Notamacropus eugenii: one gene and its partner. The protein of the gene in region 1 binds, or shares a complex with, the protein of each later gene. Links are inferred from orthologs where the notes say so. Each region holds a gene or a part of one and is shown on either strand. Other genes may lie near its edges.

Region 1 (8,889 bases):
AACCATCTGGTTAGGCAGACATGACCCCATGAACACAGGCTTCCGTCCTTGTCATCACTGGTTCTTTTTTCCTTTTTAGGTGAGGGTTGAAGTCTCCAATCTCATGAGTAAAAGATCAGTACAGCATCGATGCCCCATGGAGCAATAAGTGACCTTCAGAATCCAGCCCATGGTGGTCAAGATGAGGACTCCTATAACTCATGTCTCTTCTAAATATGAACTTGGTGGGACCAATAGTATATTAAAAAGTTATGCTAAGAGTGTCATGCCCACTGCCCTCAGTGAACTGAGATTGGGATCTGGGAGATTGTTTCTCTAGTGTGGTGGGAAAATGTTTATACTTCTATTCTTGCTATATCTTTGAAGTAAATATCCTTTTATAAAAATTAATTGATGTTAAGTGTTAAAGGGAACTGGTACACTACTTGCTATTGGCTAAGGGGTGTGGGGAACATAACCAATGAGGACTTGACCAAGTGACATTAGAGAAAAAAAATAACTAAAAGACCTCAGGATATCCCCTAGAATCCCAAGGGTGAGCTGCACCTGGCCTGCCTCTGGGAGAATGAACCTGAGCTTGTCAATACAGAATAAATGAGTTTTTACAACTATACGTAGGGATCAAACAAGGAATTGGGAGGAGCCCAATAACCGAAGATCAGACGGACAATTTTCATTATATGGAATAAAACATTTTTTTCATAAGCAAATCCAGTGCAGTTAAAACTAGAAGGGAAACAGTTAATTGGGGAAAAATAATCTTTGCAGTACTTTTTTTGAGAAAAAATTCTCATATCAGCTCTTATCAGTGCAGTGGCAATCCATGATTCCAAAAGACCAAAGATGGAGCATGCTGCCTACCTCCTGACAGAGGACTCAAGATGCAGATTAAGATGTGGTCAGTGTGTAGGAAATTGCTTTCTTTGACTGTGTATTTATTATAAGGGTCTTCTCAAGGTTGGGTCTAGAAGTAATTCTCTAGAAAGAGAACAAATGCTATTTAATTGCATGTAATTGGGGAGAAAAGATTGGATGTGAAAGATGTGAAAGTAGAAATTGCAATCTGAGGAAGGATTAGGACTCAAATGTTTTTGACTTAAAGCCAGGCTCAGTACAACACCCTGACGACCGTAATTTGAAGAGATCATGAACATACCCTATAATCCAGGAGTCTCCTACCAGTGACTCTGGGCTTACATGTGTGTTCAGTTCTGGGGTCCTAATGCCAATATTTTTGACTCCACTCCTCAACCCCAGAATAACTCCAGAGAAATCTCTAAAACAAAATTTAGTTCTGGGTCATATCTTGTTCAGTCATTTCAGTCTTGTCCAGCTCTTCCTGACTTCATTTGGAGTTTTCTTAGCAAAGAATGGTTTGCCATTTCTTTCAGTTATGTGATTTGCCCAGGGTCACTCAGCTAGTAAGTGCTTTGGGCCAGATTTGGACTCATCAGCCTGACTCTAGAACTGGCACTCTATCTGTTTCATCACCTCCTGCCCCCAGGTCATATGTAGAATCTCCTCAAAGAAATAGTATTTGGATAGCCTTGTAAGGTTTGCATATTATAAAGCATATAGTGCTTTACATATTATTTGATCCTCACAGCAAACCTAGGAAGGTAAGCGTTGTTATTATTCTTGTTTTTACAGAGGAGGAAACTGAGGTGAAGTGATTTACCCATGGTCACTGGGTGACTAAGTGCCTAAGGCCAGATTCAAAATTAGGTCTTCCTGACTCCTTAGTGTCACCATTTTCTCTGCTGTGCCACCTAGAGGTTACTCTAGAAAAGGTACACACTGTTCAGTACGAACCTTGGGAATAGGACAACTGTTTTATTTCCTGCATCATGCAAAAAACTCATAGATATGCACTGACAAATACAGAAAAGATAAGAATACTTCAAATAGTCCATTACACTTACTATACTTTTTGGAAGACAAAATCCCTTTGTGCAGCTGTGGTGGAATAGATACTTTGCATTGATCTCAATACAAATCTTCAATTTGAAAAGGCTACAAGCCAAGACCAAAGTGGAGGGAGTGTGGAGTGTTGGTGCATGAATTTCTGTTTGCAGATGATTGTGCGCTCGATGCAGCCTCTGAAGCTTGAAGTGCCAAACGTTCAAACTATGCTTCAGAGAGTGCAGCTGTGATGGGCTGGCCATGTTATTCGAATGCAAAATGTACACTTGCCAAAAAGACCATTTTATGGAGAACTAACATGGGGCAGGTGATCACATGGTAATCAGGAGAAGCGATACAAGGACACGCTCAAGGTATCTCTCAAGAACTTATTTGACTGCGACATGGGAGACACTGGCACAGAACCACTCAGCATGGTGTGCTCACATCAGAAAGGGTGCTGTGCTCTGTGAGCAAAGCAGAATGGAGACAGCACAAAGTAAACGTAGGATGTGCAAATTTGGAGTATCCACCCCAAATATTTACACGGACTATCTGTGCCCAACCTGTGGTAGAGCATTCCCAGCTCATATTGGTCTGATCAGCTGCAGTCGGACACACTGAAACTTCACTTTATCATGGTGATGTCATTTTGGTCCTCTTCAAGAATGAAGGACAACCACAAACAGTGACCTGGCAGTAGGGTCATCGCTTGGTAGTTATTCAGGCACTCTTTAATTCAGGATATTCTTGCCCATACTGGGAAATTAATTTTTAAAAGTTACTTTTTTTTAGATTTTTTTTTTGTTCTGATTTTAACAAACACAAATAAAATGAGCATATCTATTGGAGCAGAGGAAGAGATTGTACCCTCAATGATACATCTCCATTCTGTCCTCAATCCTTTTTGTTGAGATAACTGTAAAAATTTGACATTTAATTTTTTTTTTTGAAATTTAACTTTTAAAGTTGTCATGCTTAGCTTTGTTTCCTTGTGTTCTCTTCTGTGTATTTAAAAAAATATTTAATTGACTTTTTTCTTTTGTAAGTCTGTCCCTATCTCCCTATCTTCAGTCTTCCTTCATCCCCAACTGAAAAAAAAAAAAGAAAACCTTTGTAACAAATATACAGTCAAGCAAAGCAAATTCCTACATTAGTCATATCCAAATTTTTTCTTTTCTTTTTTTTTTTTTAGCCAATCAAAAGAAACTGTAGATCACCATAAACTCCTCAACCTCCACTTAAGGAGAGGGGAACAGAACAGACATCTCCTCAGACATCACCTCATTTCCCACCCAGCTGTACTCATTTTTGGATGATTTCTGCATTATTTTGCAAAATTTAATAAAACTTGGCCCTTAAAACTCATTAGTACCTGCAGCTTCCTCTTATTGGCCAAAGGAGCTATGAACTCCTCATGCAGCATTTAAGGAGGTGGAGTAGGTTAGATTTATTTTCCACCTAGCTGCACTCATTTTGGCTTCTCTGGCTATACTCATTTAGGAATTTGTTTTTAACTGCTCCATTATTCCTCATGCCAGGTGACCTCTCTTCCCTCCCTTCACCCTATTTTCCAGCTTCCTTTTGTGTTTTGTCTTCCCACATCAGCTTGTAATCTCCTTGAAGGCAGGGACTGTTAAAAATATTCATTAACCCTGGGTATTATCTCTAGAAAAAACTCTGGGCTTCCCCCTCCAAGAGATGTAGTAGTTAAATTGAACAGTTTCGGTAGCAAAACTCAAAGGGGGCCCCCCTCAAAGCAACCTTCCATAGTTGCTGGTTTTGTTTATTCCCATGACCTAGGTATTTAGACTATGTTCTAATCATTCACCCATTGCTCCTTGGAAATGTAACTCAAGATCTTTACTGCATTCGGGAGAAATCTCAGGATGCAGATACTATAAAGCATAACAAGTCCCAGGTACATAGTTTACTTGCAGAATCCATCTTGGTTCAGTCCTAAATCTGGTGCCATCTTGCTTTATCCCTAGGTCATGGAGGATAGCTCCGTCCCTTTACCATAGAGGAAACAAGTTTCTAGGTAGTTCCTCTGGCATTGTGTACTCTCCTTAACTCCTGCTCTTGATTAACCCCAAAGTCCCCTCCTTTCTTACCCACAATTCTTTCCCTCATCTTTGCTTTCAGCTTAATAGGAACCAACTATTATAATCCCTGTTTTTCTATTTCTCCCTTGCCCATCCAATGTAAAGCTGTAGCTACCTTCCCACAACACAGAGCTTATCTATGGACCCATGTAGCTTGACAGTTGAGGACAACATCATTTTAGTCACAGAGGTTGTGCTGCATGGTGTAGACAAGCACTGGATTTGGAGTCAGGTGACCTGTTTGATTCATGGATCTTCTATTTACTTGTAAGTAACTTCCTTTGGCCTCAGGTTCATCATTGTTAAATGAAGGGTCCTAGTTAAATGGGACCTAGTTAAGGTCTCTTTCAACTCTATAAATCCCATTTTAGGGTAAAACTGAATCACTTTGCCAGATTCTGAGCCCCTGTTCAATTGAACTCTCAGCCTCAGGTATTCCATTAATTAGTTTTTCCACCAGGAAAAATCAGTTTCTTGGGTCTTCAATTTTATCATCTGTAAATTAGAGGCATGGATTGTATAGCAATTTATATTTTTCAAAATACTTCTGCTTATATTATCTTAGTCATTTCCTCAAAACAGAGGAGATAGTAGGCTAATAGCCTGGCTTGAGAGCAAAGGAAATTGAAAACTCAAGAAGTCATATGACTTGTGCAGTTTCCCAGCTAGTAAGTAGTTGAATTAGTAAGTAGAAATAGATCCCAGGGCTCAGCCCTCATTTCTGATTCCTTCTGTCTTTTGGGTTCAATTTTTGATTCCCAAGGCCCTTGGCTAGAATTATTGTGTTATGGCTCTTAGATACGCTTGGTGGCAGTGTTGCTCAGTCCAGCTCACCCCACCCCTGCCCAGCTTAGTTTAGCCCAACTTCCTGGAAAATTGCCGCTAGTTACCAAAGGGTCCTTCCCCTTGGGGCTCCTCCCCTTGGTGCCGGCCACTTTCTGACTCATACTGGGCTGAAAATTAGCCTAGCAGACATCCTGTTGACTAGTGGGAATCTGGACCAGAACACAGTTCAATGCCTTGCTGTTAACAAAGGGGACACCCTTTTTGGGTTTCTCCCCTACAAGGAGGAACATTAGCTCAGGAGTGGCTTGGTTGCTTCTCCTGGGAGGAGAGAACAGATCTGAGGTCCCAGCAAGCTGTTGGCTGTGGAGAGGAAAGAGACTTAATCACAGCAGATTGTAAACTGTTGGAAGCAGGGAAAATGGCCTTGCAGCCACCTCTGCTGCCACCCCTACCTGCTCTCCAGAGCCCCAGGACTTCCCAGTATATCTATCAGCTTCCTTCTTGGGTGCTGGAGGACTTATGCCACAAGATGGACAGCCTGAATGAATGGGACTGGATGCAGTTTGGTGAGAGCAGTGTCAAGGGGGCTGGGGGTCCCTGGGAAGACTGAATGCTTAGGAAGTTGGGAGCCCCCCGCAATGACTGCCTGACAGGGTACTGTGGACTTCTAGGGGACTTAGATGATGGGGTCATCCAAGAGCACATAACCTATCTCCCTCAGGGAGAACAGGATTTAGAGTTTGGAAGAGATCTTATTGATAGTCTGGTCTGACCCTTTCATTTTACAGAGAAGAAAATGGAAGCCTTCATAGAGGGGGAAAAGGAGGAGTCTGAGGCCAAGATAGGGAACTTTTCCCAAGGTTGTACAGATAGTCCATAGCAGAACTGTGATTTCAACTCAGGTGTTCTGGCTTCGTGACTCAGAACACTGGCCACTGCCCTATATAAGCTCTTTTGTTCTTGTTTAAGTATCATTCTACCTTTTGCTTTTGAGCTATATTTTTAGCTTGTTCCACATAACACAGTGTAATGGACAAAACTTCAGAATGGTAAGTGAGTTCGGGTCCTTATCTTTTGCTCCTCTATGAGGTTAGATTAGATGGTTTTTTGTATCTCTTTCATCTCTAAGATTCTGTGATTTATTAAGCTATCTAATGATGAATGTAACCATGGAGGCAAAGAGCTGTATTGAAGAGCTGACCTAGAGTCAGGAGAATCTAGGTACAAGTCTCACTGGCCATACATGCTGGCTTGCCACTTAGCCTAGGCACCTCTGCACCATGGTGGAGGAGTACTGGATCTGAACCCAAGAAGATCTGAATTCGAAGCCTATTTTAGATGCTTCCTACCTCGCTGTATGACTTGCACAAGTCACGTAACTTTTTGTCAGTTTGCCTATCTCTAAAATGGGGATGAAAATATCATCAACCTTATGGGTCTCGTGTGAGGCTCCAGTGAGATGTTATAGGTAAGGGCTTTACAAGCCTTACAAGTTTAGCTGATATTTATTACTGTTAGTTTCTCACAAACTCTAAGTTGAAGGGAAGGTACCAACCCCCTTTTGGTAGTGGTAATTTCCTCCTCTGGACATTCCCTGTTTTGTAAGATCACAGGTCTAGCGATTTTCTAGAATCTAGAAAAAGATGTGTTGTGTGGTAATAGTCTTCTGGGATTAGTTACTAGTCATGTTTCTTGGTGCTAGGTGCTGAAAATTGGTTACTCGGTAGGTCAGACTGTGCTTTGTAATTGTGATGGTGATCAGAAGGAAAAGGAATGATGGTATACAAAATACCGCTTCTCTTGTCCATGGGGAAAGCATTGTAAATGTGCCCTTCTCTGTGCTGTCTTCCCAAGGATACTGGGAAATGAATCACAGCCTCACAGGAAGAGAAACCATTTTATGACCTTGATACCTTCCTTTCAAAAAAATACCCAAGAAATACCCTTCCTTTCTGCCATATATTACATGGAGTTTTGGAGTACAGATGTAAATGAGATTATCCAGAGTATTGAGGATATCAGTTTATAATCAGGACAACTAGGTGGCACAGTGGATAGATAGTGCTGGGCCTGGAGTCAGGAAGACTTATCTTGAGTTCAAATCTTGTCTCAGGCACGTATGAGCTGTGTAATCCCGGGCAAGTCACTTAACCCTGTTTGCCTCAGTTTCCTCATCAGTAAAATGAGACAGAGAAGAAAATGGCAGGCTACTCTAGTATCGTTGCCAAGAAAACCCCAAGTGAAGTCACAGTTAAAAGAAGTGAACACCAACAACAAAGAAGTTAGATAAGAGATGGAACACCTACTTTAGAAGGGTTGTTTTATACTAGACTGGGTTACTGTAAAAGGCTATGAAATCTCCCTGGCTTGAAGGGGAGGGCCAGGACGGATCTTTAAAGCGGGCATTTTGTACTCTCTCCTTGCTCATAGGTTTGGATGCTTGTCTATGTCATTGGAAGTGAAAAGAGTTTATCAGTTAAAGAGGCAAGCATCTCTTGGGGTCTAGGCTGTTTTTGGTGAATTGCTGAAAGGGCATTGAGTTTAGTCTGAGTTAGGATGGAATCCACTCTTAATTTACTAACCAGGAATTTTGTACATAGTCAATAAACCTTTGGCCTCCTTGGATCATAGATTCCAAGTGAGAGATGACCATAGAGACCATCTGGCCCAACCCCCTTCATTTTGCAGACTAGGAAACAGAGGTCTGAAGAGGTTTGATGACCTCACGCAAGTGTATATGAGAGGTGGAGTAGAGGTATCTTTTCTCATCTGTGTCTGCTACATAAAAGATATTTAATATATTCTTGTTGATTGTCCAATGAGGAATTTGGATTAGATGACTTGTAAGGTTTCTTCCAGTCCTAAATCATCCTATGAGTTTATAAGCATCCTATTTTAACCTCCCGGTCAGTGTGGATCCCTTTCTACAGTGGCCCTGACTGGGCCCCACTCAGCCTCAGTGTCAGGGGAGGCAAGGAGGCAGAAGGGATGGATTCTCAGGGACTTCCAGGTCTCAGTCTATGATTTGTAGACTTTATGGAGGGGAAATCAATTTCCCTTGCTGATGACTGTGAATAGGCACTTTACATTTATAGCCAAGAAAGAGAGACATTCAGTGACACTTTGTCTTGTACTGACAGGTTAGTTTCCTAAGCCACAGGCTGGGGCTGAGGGAAACCTCCTTGTCACCCCCCAAAGACATTTATTGAGAGCTTCCTACGTGTCCTTATGAATCTCCAGTCACTGTGCTAAGTGCTGGGGATACAATGAACGGTAAAAGCAACTTGATCCTTCCCTCAAAGAGCTCATCATCATCATCACCCTCCTATTCCTAGCCTCCCTTGAGATTTCTCTCATTCTCAAGAAATAAAGTACTTCCTTTGGGTGACTTAGAGACTTCTCCCACCCCAGCCTTGTAATCTAAAGGGCCCTCAGAAATCCTGGAGTAAACCCTCTGCTTTTCAGAGAACTGTACTAGAGACTCAAACAGGCAGAGTATGATGTTCAAGGTCCCCTCATGATTAATAGAGTCAATCCTAACCCCCTTATTTCCAGTATCTTGTGGCTGGAGTCTTTCCTTAATGCCTCACTTCCTCAATAACTTAGGGAGGGAGGCAGGTTAAAAGGAATCCAGGGACTTTGGGTATGGGGAAGGCAGTCCAGGACACACTGTGTTCCTCTTAAGATCCTTGGTCCTTATTGTGGACAGATTTTGCCCCGCCCTGTGATGATGGTATGATAAATTTCCACAAACAGGATGGTGTTTGAGGGACTTGTAGTGACTCAGGTGGCTAAGCCGGTAAACTGTGATTCTTTGCACATCATTTCCCCTCCCTGTGCTCTGAATGATTTCCCCATTCCTTCTGGGTAGACTTGGTGCCTGAGAGTGAGTGTGGTAGTTACAAAAGTTACTCACCTGAGACCAGCCAGCATCAGCCTTCCTCAGCATGAACTCTTTTTCTGACACAGACAGCTTTCCAGGCTAGCATGAAATCCCTAACTCCCCTTCTCTGCACTGCCAAAAATAAGACTTTGTCTTCTGTTCAAATATTATTTTCATGAGGATAGAACATGCATTAAACCGTTATTAGTAATT
Region 2 (8,439 bases), about 220 Mb from region 1:
AATATCTCCCCAACTTGCAATTTTTATTTTCTATACCTTTTGTTTTGATTCTTCTTTCACAGCATGACTAATGTGGAAATATGTTTAATACGATTGTACATGTATAGCCTTATATGAGATTACATGCTGTCTTGGGGAGAAGGGAAGGGACACAAATAAGGGGGGGAAATTTAGAAGTCAAAATCTTATAAAAATGAATGTTGAAAACTAAAAATAAATAATTTTTTTTTTTTAAAAAAAAGAAAAGTGTAGTCAGCAATGCCTCTGAATCTCTTGAACTAATAAGGTTGACTGGACACTTCCATCTCAAGATAGATGTTTGGTCACTTAGGGTCAGGTAAAGAAACACAAAACAAGAGGCCCAGGTTTAAGTTCACTAAAGTTCAGTGTCTCTGTTCTACCTGTTCTCTGGAAGTGGTTCACTTGCTGCCATTTTTCATTCCATCCCACAGCTTCCCTTATGGGGACTCTCAGAGTCACTTGGAGGGAAGGAAGTGTGGGTGGGAGGAGAGATTGTCACTTCCTTTTTAAAGGTCTCGTCAGTTATTGGCTCTTCCTTTTCATTGGCTTGATGTAGATATTACTTGACATCCCCACGGTACCAAAGAAGTTGGGAAGTTGTGAGTTCCACAGCATCTGATTGCTAAGTTCATACACATGTGCACCCTGCCCCCCCCCCCCCCCCACTCAACTGGAAACAGGTAAATACTCTGTGCAATTTCCCAATTATACTACTCTTGGTGCCAGAATATGGTTACACACCATTTGCTATTTGTTCCTCTAGCTTTGTGTCAAGCTAATCACTATGTGGTATGCTGCCTTGTCTATTTCTTAGAATTGTGTGAGCAGTTTTATTACAATAGCTGGGTGCTAACTCAAAGAGTTATATTTCCACAACCCAAATATCCAGCATTTCAGGGTTCCTGACAAACCTTCGTAACTATTTTAGCAATTTTAATGTATTAAGAGTTCCCACTGTACATCACTCTATGATACTTTCCAGTTGCCCCTTCCTTTCTCTCCCTCATCCCTCAGTCTAAAATATCAAATGAACTGGGTTTTGAAGGGGCTGTTGTTATTTTTTTATTGCTGTTGGGGACTCCCATTTTTCTATCACTGCAGATCAGCAACTTAGTTGGCACTAAAGGGTTAAGTGACTTATCTGTGAGAAGGGGGAGGACAAGGGAAGGAAACAAGCATTTATATCCCATACACCCAGCCCCACCTTCCTTCTCCCCCTACACTCACTCACACACATGCATATAATTCCCATTATGGATTTGTTTCATTTTAAATGTTCACATTAATTTTCAAAATTCTTTTTTGTTTAGAATGTGGATTTTCCTTTTGCAGTGTGGTATAGTGGATAAGACACTGAACATGGAGTCAGGAAAATAGTTTTCAAATACCAACTCATACACTTATATATGACCATGAGCAAATCACTTTACTTCACTGGGATTCAGTTTCTGCATTAGTAAGACGAGTGGGTTGGGACTCCATTCCACCTAAGGTACCTTTCAACTCTTAAGTCCATGATCTTGTAATTTTAATTTACTAGCCTTTAGTTTAAATTATTATCAACTTTAGATAGATTAGCTTGGTTTTACTACTACCTTATCAGTTTCTTTCTCACCATAACACCTGCTGTTTGCAAGAATAAACCCCCAAATCTGAAATATTTGTAGGTCTTTATGTAGAGAAAGAGTCAGAAATATGTGGCTCCCTCCATGAGTCGTTGTGAAGTTACATTATATAGAATTCAAATAAAGATGTAAGGTTATTTGTCTGAATGAGAAAGTTTGGAACTCAAAATCTTATGGAGTGTCTGTTGAAAACTAAAAATAAATCATGTTTTTAAAAAAGGATAAAAAAATTGTTGACACTTCTGGCTGACAGCATTTTGGAGAGAGAGACAGGAAGAGAGAGAGAGAGAGAAAGAGAGAGAGAGAGAGAGGGAGAGAGAGAGGGAGGGAGAGAGAGAGAAAGAGAGGGAGGGAGAGAGAGAGAGAGAGAGAGAGAGAGAGAGAATGTTGTAAGGGCCTGGTTTGTTCATTCATTTTGATAGGGATTGGAATTATGACCTTCTAAACTTTGGGAGATCAGGACAGCAAGTCACCATCAGCAAATCCCTGGAAGATCTGATCTCTCCTGGAGGAGAAGATGTATTAGAATTTACAGCCAGGAAGTCCAGGCATCTAAGGAGAGGGTGAGAACTGACCTTCTGGGTCCAGCAAAATAATAACTGAGAGAAAGATTCATTCGGCAGGAATGCCACATTGGGATGTGAACTTGATGGCAGCAGTGCTTTACAGAATATCTATAAATCCAAGTCTACTTTCCCCAAGGACCAAAGTGTAATATGGCTAGTGTATCCCCACCCTCCACCTTGTAGAGGCAATACTTTTCTTTTGTTCTTGATAAATTTTTGAATTATCTCTGTAAGAGGTAATCAATATTAACTGTTTAAATAAAACTGGAAAGCTAGTTATTAGTAGCTGTGGGGGGAATGCCCTGGAATAGGGCTTTGAGCATTTGAGAAGAGACATCCCAGCTCCTTAGAGGTAACCCTAGAAGCATAGGAAACAAGAGAAGGGAGAACAGTGACCCCATTGTTCCCAGTCCTGCTTGTCAATCAGTATTAAGGGAGGCTCTGTAGACACACATAACCCAGTCTGCAGGTTTTGTATTACCTGTCCCTCAAGTACCAGATCATTCCATTAGCCCTAACATACAACCACTTGGGAAGGAGCTGAGATGCAGTAGCCCATCCATTTTTGCTGATGTGGGCCTAACTGAATTGTTTTTCTCTCATTACAAAAGTTATCAATAAAAGCTGACTCCATCTTGAATCCCTTGCTCATCTCTAGTGATCAGCCTATCAACATGTTGCTACCTTGATGTATTTTTTAATAAACTTCTTTTAATTCTCTTTTTCCTGTTTTGTTTCATTAATCAAAGCAAAAGTCAAAATAAAGAATTTTCCTTTTAACAAAATGTACCTGACCCTGCTCTGGAAGGATGCAAGAGGACTTGCTGCAACAGAAAAAAAAATAGGCTACATTTCCATTATAACCAAATGTTTACTTTTATGCTAACCTAATTAGTTAATGAAGCCAATCAAAGAGATTAAAAATAAAAAATCCTTAAGTTCTACATGTACAATTGTTCTGATATTTGTCAGGACATTGTATCCCCAAAAATAATGAACCAAGTTCCTAATACATATTTACCTGTATATTTTCCTCTGTCAAATAAATATCCTCCTTTAATTTCAAAAGGAAATTTTTTGGGAATAATTTCCCTGGCTGACTGAATTGTTTTGTAGGAGTAGCAGAGAGCCCTTGAGAAACTGAAGAAGGTATTTTGTTTTCTGAATATAAAAGAAAAGTCCTCCAGCCCTACTTTAAATGTTCTTATCAAGTCTTCAAAGGTTATATTATTGGGGAAATTATTATTCAGATGAAAGTTCCTGGAGTCCTTACATTCACATGACAACAGCTGTGGCAATTTTCTTGCAAAATTTTCTGTTCCTCTTTGCATTTTATTAGCAAAGTAACTGCTAAAAGGGGGAAATTATAACGAATGAATAATCGTGCTAGATGTTTACATCTATAATTTGAATCATTTCTGTAGTAGTGGCAGTTAAACATTAGATACCAAAGAGTGCAGTTCTTTCCACAAACTGCCTATGAATGAACAAATGTAGGCAACTATGAGCATTCATTCACCAAATATTTAACATCTGTGCAAGGTACTATAAAAAACACAATGTTGCACAAGACATGGTCTCTGTCCTCGAGAAACTTAAAGTCTAGTAGTGAAGATATAACTCTTAAATGTAAATACACTAAGAATGATACAAATAGAGTGCTAAAGGAGTTCAAAGCAAATCACAATTCCAGAAGACCAAAGCTGGTGTTTTTTTTTATGCTAACCACCTCTTGTTAGAGGGGTGATAGATTTAAAATGTAGAATGAGACATACATTTTTGTACATGGGCAATTTGACAATTTGTTCGTTTGATTTTATAAATTTTATTGTTTGACAGATGAGTGGTAGAGAGAATAAATGACTATTCATGGTAAAAATAATAATAATAAAGGAGTCCAAAGAGGTTATCATGGAGCTCAAGAACCATGAAAAAATATATTAGTACAATATTAAACAGGAGACAAAAAGATCTTCACTAAGCACTGAAGACACACAGGGTTAGCAAAAGAAGAAAAGGAACGTAGAATAGTTGGTGAGAGCTGGAGATTGACATGGCAGGGTCAAGTGAGCAACCATAGCGTTAAAAAAAAAACACAACTCTGGGCTTGGACCAGAAGATCAGAGTCTGAGTCCTGGCTTCCACAGTTACGAGTCATATAACCACTGACAATTTACTTGAACACTTCTGAGCCTCAGTTTCCTAGTGCGTCAAAGGAGGGATAACATTTGCCCTAAAGATGTTGCCGAGTTGTTTTTGGGAGAGACGTTTGTTAACCTAACTGGTCTATATAAATGTGTTAGTTTATCGTAGATACAATGTAACCTAGACTCTAGCAGGAACTACTGCTAGTTAGGTCTACCAAACAAGGATAAATCTGTAAAGCAGATATTTAGCTATTTTTATTCATTTAATATATTACATTATTTAATTTTACTTATATACAAATATATGTAATATGTAATATATATGATGTATATAAATATATTTACATATTTAATAGCGAATATTAAAATGTCTCTCGGGCACGACCCTTTCACCTCATATTCAGGGTCTAACTTCCAACTCCCCCTTGTTTCTAAACCTTTCTCTCCAACCCGCTCAAGCCTGTTAGTGTTTTTCTTCCTTATTTTTGGGCTTAAGGTTCTTCTCTGAGCCCTGAAATTCGGATCAAAGAGGCCCTTAAACCGTCCTCCTGGGCCCCGCTCTTCTCGCTACACCCACGCCAGACGAAGAAGGAGGCAGCCTGGACAGCAAACAGTTCAGCCCCTGGACAGAACCAAAGGGACGCCCTGACTTTCCGGTTCTGGGGTCTCCTCAGCGCGCATGCCTAGGTGGCCGCAGAGGAAGGAGGCTTACAAGTCCAGGAAATCTTCGCCAATTGCCGTGAGTTTAAAGGCTCCTCCCCCTCGAGGGCGGGGCCAGCTTGCCCCAGAGGTAAAGTTTCAGCTTTCCTGGAGCCAATGCGGAAGGGAAGAGAGGGCTTCCCAGGCCAGGATGCGGCTCGTGTCTCCCGGTGTCTGGCTCTCCTGGCCCGTGCTGGCGCCTGCACAGACAGAACTCAGGTAACGCTGAGCCCTGCTGCTGCCGCGGGCTCATGTTCTCCGCTCAGAATGGTGACTTGTCCGCCTGGCAGAATGAGGCACCGCCCCCGTGCCCTCCCCAGGTTTTCCCATTAGCTTTTAGGAGGGCTTTCAGGCGGACTTGGACGGTTTTCCAAGCCCATTTCCTGCTCCTGGAACCTACCCTTACTTAATCCGAGCCTGAAGAACTCATTCCTGGCCAAATGAGTGAGCCCTGTGCTCTTTTATGGGAACTTGCGTTCCTGATAGTGGGGATTTGGGCCCGCGAAGCAAATGGCAAGTTAGGCAGGAGCCTTTTCACTTCCGGGTCACTTATTGGGCTGACGCTTTAAGTAACAGGTGACCTAGGCTGTCATCTAGACTAGGGGTGGAGAACCTGCTGCCTCGAGGCCACATATGGCCCTCTAGGTGCTCAGGTGCTGCCCTTTAATAGAATCCAAACTTCACATAACAAATACCCTTAATGTAACTACATTTTACATAAATATAGTTATATATTATAATTGTATGGGATACAATAATGTAACACACATATGTATGTATATATGTATGTATGTGTGTGTATCTATCTATCTATATATATATAGTCAAATCCTTAATGATTTGTTCTGTAAAACTGGGACTCAGTCAAAAGGCTGCACCCAAGGACACATGTGGCCTTGAGGCCACAGGTTCCTCACCAGTCTTATTGTTTTGTTGAGGATAGGTAAATAATTCATAGTTCTTCATTGTAAAATATTGTTACTGTGTACAATATTCTTCCTGGTTCTGCTCGCTTCACTCTGTATCAGTTCATGTAAATCTTTCTAGGCTTTTTTGAAATTATCCTGCTAAAGATTTCTTTTTATTTAAAGCAGGATAGTATTCTCTCACAATCATATTCCACCACTTGTTCTGCCATTCCCCAGTTGATGGGCATCCCCTCAATTTGCAATTCGTAGCCACCACAAAAAGAGCTGCTATATTTTTGTACAAATAAGTTCCTTTCTCTCCCCACTTTTAAAATCGACCTAGCAGAAACATTGTTGGATCAAAGGGTTGCACAGTTTTATAGCCCTTTGGGCATAGTTCCAAATTGCTCTCCAGAATGTTTGAATCAGTTCACAACTGCAGGAGCAGTGCATTATTGTCCCAGTTTTCCTACATTCCCTCCAGCACTTATCATCTTTCTTTTTGTCATATTAGCCAATCTGATAGGTATGAGGTGGTTATCTCAGATCTGTTTTAATTTACATTTCTTTAATCAAATAGTGATTTAGAGTGTTTTTTATATGATTATGTAGATAGCTTTGATTTTTTTGTATGTAAACTGCCTTTCATACCCCTTGACCATTTATCAATTGGAGATTGATTCATCTTTTCATAAATTTCACTCAGTTTTCTATATATTTGAGAAATAAGATCTTTATCAGAGATACTGTAAAATTTCTTTTTTTTCAGTTTTCTGCTTTCGAATTTTTGTTGCATTGCTTTTGTTAGTGCAAAAACTTTTTAATTTTATGTAAACAAAATTATCCATTTTACATTTTGTAATACTCAATTTGTCTCCTTTGGTCCTAAATTCTTTCCTTATCCATAGATCTGATAGGTAAACTATTCCATGCTTTCCTAATTTGCTTATGGTATCACTCTTTATGTGTAAATCATATACCCATTTTGACCTTATCTTACTGTATGGTGTGAGATGTTAGTCTGTACCTGGTTTGTGCCATACTGTTTTCCACTTTTCCTGTTTTTCTTCCAATTCTGTGAATTGTTGTTGCAAGAAAAGACCACTTTTTTTTTACAGTTTTCTTTTGTTTTTTTTTTAATTTTAAAATTTTTATTATTTTATTTGTTTTCATTTTTCTATAATCACTTCCATATATCTTAGATTTTTACCCTTCGCTCCCCTTCCTTTCCCTGTCCCTCCCAACTCCCTCCCCAGAACAGCATGCTATCTTACATAGGTTCTACACTTACATTCCCATTAAATACATTTTCACCTTAGTCATGTTGCATAAAAGAATTAAAATGAATGGGAGAAATCATATAATGAACCAAAACGTAATACAAAAGTAAATGATCTGCTACAATCTGTGATTGAGTTCCATAGTTCTTTCTCAAGATGTGGAAGGCTTTTTGCCTTAAAAGACCATTGGGAATGCTATACCACTTGTAGTATATATGTTTGGTAATGAAATTGCTTTGTTGTCTATGGTGCCTTTTGGCAGGATATAGTTTCCTTCCTTGTCTCTTTTGATTAGGTCTATTTCTGCTTTTGCTTTGTCTGAGATTAGGATTGCTACCCCTGCTTTTTTTTTTTATATCAGCTGAAGCACAATATATTCTGTTCCAACCTTTTACTTTTTTCCTGTGCGTATGCCCCTCTTTCAAATGTGTTTCTTGTAAACAACATATTGTTGGATTATAGTTTTTAATCCATTCTGCTATCCTTCTCTGTTTTATGGGAGAGTTCATCCCATTCACATTCACAGTTATGATTACTATCTCTGTCTTTCCCTCCATTCACTTTTCCCCTGTTTATGCTTTTAGTTCTTCCTTCCCTTCCACAATAGTTTTAATTTTTGACCACAGCCTCCCTCAGTCTTCCTTCCCTGCTTTCAACCCCCCTCCATTTTAGCCCCCTTTCTCTCACAACTTCTTCCCTCCCTTTTAGCCTCCTCTCCCTTTTCTTTTCTCCTTCCCCTCCTACTGCCTTTAGAGCTAGTTGTATATCTGTACTTACCTGAGTTTGTTGTTCCCTCCTTGAACCCAATCACATGAGAGCAACTCTCAAACAATGCTTATCTCCCTCCCTTCTTTCCCTCTACTGTAATGTATTTTTGTGCCTCTTCCTGTGATGTAATTTACCTTTTTCTGACTCCTCCTTTTCACATCTCCTGTTGCAATCCCTTTGCATGCTTAAATCATGACATCATTTACTTTATACCGCTCCCTCTATCTATGTATATCCATTTTAACTATCATAATAAATATACAGTTCTCAAGATGAACAAATATCATCTTCCCTTATAGGGATGTAAACAGTTTACTCCTATTGAATAACAAGTTTTGGGGGTTTTTTTCCCCTTGTTTACCTTTTTATGCCTCTCTTTAGACTTGTGTTTGGAGATCAAATTTTCTATTGAACTCTGGCCTTTT

What was found.
Region 2: the proteins of IRAK2 (region 1) and IRAK4 are in contact, whole or in part, in a crystal structure (PDB 3MOP), measured with the Homo sapiens proteins. The link is inferred for Notamacropus eugenii from reciprocal best matches to the Homo sapiens genes IRAK2 and IRAK4. Residues at the interface, in NP_001561.3 of Homo sapiens: Tyr6, Ile36, Lys44, Met48, Glu59, Trp62, Trp63, Trp64, Gly65, Met66, Arg67, Gln68, Ala69, Gln73; in NP_001107654.1 of Homo sapiens: Asp24, Phe25, Pro28, Gln29, Lys34, Glu92, Phe93, Phe94, Ala95, Pro96, Ser98, Val105.

What each region holds. Positions count from the first base shown.
Region 1 is NC_092874.1:435,351,760-435,360,648, reverse strand, and holds the start of IRAK2 (interleukin-1 receptor-associated kinase-like 2), read left to right. Parts: upstream 1-5,107; 5' UTR 5,108-5,211; coding exon 5,212-5,359; intron 5,360-8,889. UniProt on the Homo sapiens protein: Binds to the IL-1 type I receptor following IL-1 engagement, triggering intracellular signaling cascades leading to transcriptional up-regulation and mRNA stabilization.
Region 2 is NC_092874.1:212,024,651-212,033,089, reverse strand, and holds the start of IRAK4 (interleukin-1 receptor-associated kinase 4), read left to right. Parts: upstream 1-5,021; 5' UTR 5,022-5,277; intron 5,278-8,439.